Ovis aries: one gene and its partner. The protein of the gene in region 1 interacts with the protein of each later gene in a pairwise test. Links are inferred from orthologs where the notes say so. Each region holds a gene or a part of one and is shown in the gene's direction. Other genes may lie near its edges. The genes, in order: CCNK and CDK18.

Region 1 (3,356 bases):
TGTGTATTCCCTGACTGTGTGTTTTTGGATTGTACTCTAACAGAAAGTGTCAGTACAAAGAAAAACAGGAGCGGCAGTGAAAATGTGCTCAGCAACACACAGTCATTCCTTGGTATCAGCGGCAGGGGGCGGCCTCTGGGACCCGCCTTGGATACCAGACTCCCAGATGCTCGAGTTTCATAGTCCGCCCTCCCTGTCTGCAGATGCAAGGGGCCGACTGTATATCAAAATAGGGATGTAGGCGAACTGCTGCAGCAGCATTTATTTTTGAAGGTTAGTTAAGCCCACTGCAGTCAACAGAGTGAAGGCCCCCGGCTGAGCATCAAGCAGCAGCGTACAGGTAGAAAGGAGGGGAGCCACGGGCCAGGGTGCCACCTGCTGCTTACAGGGCCAGGCTTTTTTGCAACACCTATATGGCCCATATTTGTGGAGCCCAGAGTTGGTTAACTTGTTTCTGTGCTGGAAACCACAGGGTGAGGGAAGCCTGGATGATCACAGAGGAGACAATGAGAGGCACTTTGCCTCCGACTCAGCCGGCTGGGTGGTGTTGACCCCCGTGCAGGCGCAGACCGGGTGTATCTCTGATTCTCTGTTTTCTCTGTTGCTTGGTTCCAGGGTAGGAGCCCTGGGAATTACTTATTGAACTGTTGTGAGACCTTCACGTTACAGTAAAGCTACATTTTTCTCAGGATCTTTGGGGAAATATGATGAGTTCAGTACAGGGGAGATCTTTTTTTTTAAGCTCCAGATGGGTAGGCAGCAAGTGTGAGACACAGAAGAGGGGGCTGTGCTCTATTTCACGTGGGTGTACAATCCGCTGAGCCGGTGCCACCCCGTGAGAGGCAGAGACCAGCCCGGTGGGCCTCGGAGGAGGACTGATGCCAGTCAGCTGGGGCTGGCAAGGTGGAGTCTTTAGGTGGATGAAAAGTGATCAGTGGAATTGAGAATTTAGGAGAAAACTAGAGAAAGGAGTGTTACTGGATTGTGGGTTAAAGGGGAATAGCTTCTGCTAGACTGAAGGTGGGATGGAAGCAGGGACTGTGCCCACCTGGTGGAGGGTGGGTACTGCAGACGCTGGGCGCTGCTGGAGGTGTGTGAGCAGGAGATGGCATGGTCTGAGTTCATTCGGTTCAGAAAGTTTCCTGGCAGCGCTCACAGCACGGAGACAGAGGAATGGGGTCAGGGGGATCTCTCAGGAAGAGGGTAAAGAGGGTAGGTCCTGGACCTTGAAGTCAGCCTGTGTCTGAGATGGAGGAAGCCAGGAATGTTGAGCAACTCCAGAGCAGAGCGGTGTACAAGCTAGAATAGAGCAAGTTTCAGGAAGAAAGAACCAAAAATACAAACAAGAAGATGGGGTGCTCTTTTGGTTGTATACATACACTCTCCTCATGACCGGAAGATACTGGACGCAGTGCAGCCTGTCTTGGCCACTTAGCCAAGTGGTCACTGGGGGTGTCAGTTCCATGCAGCCGCCCCACCACGAAGGGTGGGCCGTGTGCCCTGCCCCAAGTGGTCCCGACCGCTTTGCTGTTACGTCTGCTCACGTCCAGCGTCCAGTTAATGTGCTGATAACTGGGAGTAAATATTTTTGAGAGAAAATAAACTCGGATGTGCCTGAGCAAGAATTACACAGCGAGAGTTGCTCCTGTGCACACTCGGGGCCTTTCTTTGTGTTCTCTGTGTTAGGGTGGACCCCGATGGATACCACTTGGCACCTGAGATTCACTCCACTTCTCTCAGGTCATTGGAGGGCTTGTCTTAGGTGGTCAGGAGAAAACTGGGCAGATTCGGAAAACGGGCTGGCCATGTTTGTTTTGGGCGGGGAGGTGGTGAGAGGTGTGGGGCGTTGGAAGGGCGGAGGCGGGGGGTACAGGGGGATGTGTTTGTTTGATTTCCTTTTTGTTCCTTTAAAAGGATGGTTTAGCCAGTCTGTCCTTAGCTTCCCTTAAAGCCTTCATATCTGCCTTTTCCAAAAAAAATTCCTTAACGGTACATTTTTCTCTTCCTTCTCTCTCTCTCTCTCTCTCTCTGTGACATGTTTATTCTACATGAAGAATAGCTTTTTAAATCTATTTTTGCTTTTTAGAACCACCACCACCTAAAATTCCCAAAATCGAGCCCACTCACCCTCCATTGCCTCCAGCCCATCCGCCTCCAGGTAAGTGCTGCTGGTCTCTGGGAAGACCAGCTTTTCTCTCTGCCTTTTTGAAGGACAGATTTTGGAAGTCTTGGGGAACACTTCTAGAATTTCAGAAATTTAAAAAGACATTAATGACCTAAATGTGGATACTCACTCAGTGTTGTCCGACTTTTTGCGACTCTGTGGTGCCAAGCTCCTCCGTCCATGGAACTCTCCAGGCAGGAATACTGGAGTGGGTTGCCATCTCCTCCTCCAGGGGATCTTCCCGACCCAGGGGATTGATCCAGGGTCTCCTGCATTGCAGGCAGATTTTACTGTCTGTGCCACCAGGGAAGCCCCAGGAACACAAAGGGGGTCGAGGCGGCTGGGAGTTGGGGAGGGTGCAGACTGACCGGGAGAGATGTGTTCTGATGACCCACGGGGTCTCCCAGTCAGTCTGCACCCTCTCCAGCTCCCAGCCCCCCTCCCCTAACCTCATTCTCCCACTCTTACCCTGACTCCACACCATGCAGCCCCCTCCCCACTTTCCCCCCTCTGGATATATTCTTGTTGCAGCCAGATACACTTTTCACAGTGGAAACAACTTCCCCTCTGAAAAATTCACGGATTTACACCAAGGGCAGTCCCAATCCTCAGGCCTAAAAAATACTGGAAGTCTTCTGTCCTGTCTCGTTTTTGAGGGTCTGTGCCCTGGAGCCTCCCATCAGACCCCAAGCTAAAATCAGAGGGCCCCCGCGGGGAGACGTCTGAGATGGAGCTCCTGTCATGAACAGTGCTAGTGGTGGGGGTGTGGGCCGGGGTGGTGTGGGTGCATCTGGAAAGGAGGGTAAGGGGCATGAGGCAGGGGGCTGGACCAGAAGGGGTTCGGATGAGTCTGCACTCCAGCTTGAACATCCCAGAGAAGTAACCCATGGCTGTTTCCACTGACCTGGAATCTCCCTCTGCCCGTCAGAGGTGTCATTTTTCTGGCCTACATGTGATTCCAAAAAGCTGCATAATGTCTACATCCAAGGCTTCTGCCCCTCCACGTCCGTGTCCGTCGTCCCCCGCCCATCTTCCTCCTCCTGTGGCTTCAGAAGCGGCAGCCCTGCTGGCAGTGGCCCCTGCTGCCTCCTCATCACCTGTTCCTCCTGCCCCAGCCCTGCTGGCAGTGGCCCCATTGGCCCCTCTGCAACCAGCGCCCAGGCAGGCTGCAGCTCCTCTCAGAAAATTGTTT
Region 2 (3,284 bases), on another chromosome or scaffold:
AGAGCCCAGGGCCCAGGTCTGGCTGAGCAACCTGGCTCCCTGTCCCCGGGTTTTCCTTAGTAACGAGGGGAGCAAACCCAGTCATCCTGGGGCTGCCAGCCTGACTGAAGGGGTGCCCAGCTCCCCGCGCGTGGTGGGCGAGGGGCTGCAGACTGCGGGAGTGGAGCCGGCTCGCTGAGTGGCCTCCCGGCCTGTGCCCTCTCTGCCCGCAGCTGCCTCCCTCTTCTCCCTGAAGGAGATCCAGCTCCAGAAGGACCCCGGCTACCGGGGTCTGGCCTTCCAGCAGCCAGGTAGGGGCCTGTCCTCCCCATTGCTCACCCTGACTAGAGGAGGCCAGGGCGGGCAGCACTTGCCTTCCTGAGGAACAGAGATAGGGCCGGGAGATGGGGGCTCCTCCCCGACCCAGGCCTCTCTTCCGGGGGCCTGCAGGGAGCAGGGCAGGGCCGGTTTCCCTATCTGCTGCCCAGGCTTCCTCCTTGTGTCTTCCTCCTCAACCCGCGCCCCAGACAGAATGCCACATCTGAAAGTAGCCCCATGAAGGTGTGCCCGTTTCCTGGTGCCTTCTCTCAGCACATTCTGAGCTCCAGGTGTAGCCTCTATCCTGGGAGAACTGCACTTATTTCCAGACTAGCTGATGGCCTCAGATGTGATAAGTGCTTTCCATATAGCATCTTATTTAATCCTAAAATTTTCATTGAAGTCGATGCCATTGGTTAATGCTCCCCATTTCTCAGGCAAGGAGACTGAGGCTCTGGGAGGCTGAGCTGCAGTTTCACATAGTGAGTGAGTAGAAGGGATGGGATTAGAGCTCAGGACTGACCAGCTCCTGAGCGCATGCCCTTGCTGGCTCTGGCAGAGCAGTCCGTCCCTGCTGATCTCAGGCGACCTTGGCCCCCGCCTCCTCCTTGCAGCTCCACATCTTTCCTTCCATTTTCCAGGGCGAGGGAAGAACCGCCGACAGAGCATCTTCTGAGCTGTGCCCGCCCTCCTGTGGCCCAGGGGCGAGAGGTCACACCGTGCACAGCTGCAGCGGGATGGGGCCCGTGCGGCCTCGGAGGACAGATGCGTGAGGGCTGGTGGCCGGCCCGGGAGACCTTGGGCAGCCCAGCTGTCCGTGGCTGCTTCCTCTCCCTGCTTCCCATGTGCCTCCCCAGACACCAACCCCTTGGCCCAGACACCAACCCCTCCACTGCCTGCCCTGGGGCCAGGCATGAACTGCTTCCTTTGGAAGAGGTGGTGGGCAGAGAGCAACCTCAGGCACTTTCCCACCCTGAAGCCCTTGGGCACCAGCGGGGAACCCACAGGGACTGGAGAGTCCAGAGGCTGAGCTGAGCACTGTGCCTTGGACATGGGCGGCGCTGTGCCCCCCGACCTCCCGGGGGCCTGCCTGCCTGCCTGCCTCATCAGTTTGGTTGAGACCCTTTCAGGCCCCTGGGAGCCCGCACATCTTTCCCCTGTTTCCCCTCTGAGAGCAGGAAGTGACATGGCACCTTGTCTGGGACCCTGGAACCCTGGGTGCCAACGTTTGTGCCAAAGCCCCTCCCACCTGTGGGGGCGGCCGTCCCCAGAGCGACAGAGCCGCACCCCTCTCCCATTCCCCCCGACTTGTCCCCATGGCCCGCTCCTTGCCAGGGGCCCCGTGTGCTGCTGGTGGCCCAGCCAGTCCCACGGGGCCCTGGCTCCCTGGCCACGCTCCTGCAGCTCCGTGGAGCCCGCCCTCCCCCCCAGTCTGAGCGGGATCGCCTTAAACTGCAGGCGGTGGGGCACTGCCCTGGGAGCTCTGCCTCCCGCTCCTACCAGTCTGCCGTCTCCCGAGAGCTCTTCCTGCTTCTCATCCCCGAGTGCGGGGGCGGCCGTCCCCAGAGCGACAGAGCCGCACCCCCCTCTCCCATTCCCCCCGACTTGTCCCCGCGGCCCGCTCCTTGCCAGGGGCCCCGTGTGCTGCTGGTGGCCCAGCCAGTCACATGGGGCCCTGGACCAGCATCCTGCGGGCAGCGCCTGGGTGTGCAGGCTCACCCTGAGCCTGGTGTCAGGCCGGCCCCAGCTCGGTGGTGTTGCACAGCCTTCCTCTTCTGCTCCTCCCCAGTGCCCGTGGCTCTGTCCTTGCTCTGGCCTGACTGGAGCCTCTCCATGCCCAGAGGAGGCCAGGCCCACAGTCTGAGATGCAGGAAGGTGGGGCGGGATGGGGTTGGCTCTTACCCTGAGCTCCAGGGGACTGGGAGTGTGCTGGGCCGTGGCCCCAGAGAAGGCGCCTCCACCCCCCTATGGAGCATACCTCTTGTATTCCCAAAGTCTCAACACTGGGCTGGGTCTTAGACGTCAATGCCAAAGGGAGGCCAGGCCCCCTGCCCACCCTCTTCTGCCTGAGGAGCAGCCCTGGAGGGTCTTGGCTTCCCCATAAGTCCCCATCCCCACCCCCCACCACTGTACTGTGAATATCCTGTGACTCAGCATAAAGACAGATAATATATTTAATTCATGTGGTACAGAAAGGAGTGAGGAGTCTCCTGCACAAAAGCTGATGTTGACAAACTGATGCCAAAGGTGGGGGACGGAAGGGCCTCCCCAGGCCCCCGAGGGCAGGCCGGGCTTGTGTCTGTGCAGATAAAGCGGGGAGAGTTTGGTTAGTGTGTGTCCCTGAGCCCACTCTGGCCATGGGCCTGGTGCCCTGTACTCTCCCTGCTGTATTCTGGATGCTGCTGCCTTCAGGGCTGGCAGTCAGTCCCGGGCACCCGGGATGGGTGCAGGAGAGGCCTGGGACTTGGTTCTGTTGCCGCCGTGGCCCGAGTTGCTGCCAGGGGTCCTGGGGAAGGGTCTGGGTTCTGTCTGATGTAGCTGACCTTTGTGCTCCCCCAACCGAGTGAGTCTCTGACTTCTTGGGAGGCAGGGAGGAAGGTTTAAGAGAGGGCTGACGTGGAGAATGGTCAAGGCCAGCACAGCAGAACCAGGGAGACCTGTATTTCCAGCCCAATGGTAACTGCACAGACCTGACTCCCCTTCCCGCTTCCCAGATGCCCCCTTACCCTGGGTCTGTTCACACCTCCTTTCACGCTAATCTCCCAGAGTCCTCAGCATCCTGCTGTGTTTTCCGGTTCAGTGTCCAGGTTTGTTCTCCCCAAGCCCACCCTGAGAATGTCAGGCTGCATCTGATGCCTCGCACGTGAGTACTTTGCAGTTTGCTGGCACACGTGAGGGGCTGGCAGCTTCCCAGGGGAGGAGGCTCGTGCTGAAGGCTCGGGTGGCGTGCCCAAGACCGTGGACGTAGAGGGTGGATTGGGGCCTGG

The links.
Region 2: the proteins of CCNK (region 1) and CDK18 interact in binary tests that used the Homo sapiens proteins (3 or more experiments, as listed by UniProt). The two-hybrid records come from large-scale screens. The link is inferred for Ovis aries from reciprocal best matches to the Homo sapiens genes CCNK and CDK18.

Annotation. Positions count from the first base shown.
Region 1 is NC_056071.1:62,177,673-62,181,028, forward strand, and holds part of CCNK (cyclin-K), read left to right. Parts: intron 1-1,686; coding exon 1,687-1,740; intron 1,741-2,086; coding exon 2,087-2,158; intron 2,159-3,356. UniProt on the Homo sapiens protein: Regulatory subunit of cyclin-dependent kinases that mediates activation of target kinases.
Region 2 is NC_056065.1:3,139,030-3,142,313, forward strand, and holds the end of CDK18 (cyclin-dependent kinase 18), read left to right. Parts: intron 1-212; coding exon 213-290; intron 291-938; coding exon 939-973; 3' UTR 974-2,492; downstream 2,493-3,284. UniProt on the Homo sapiens protein: May play a role in signal transduction cascades in terminally differentiated cells.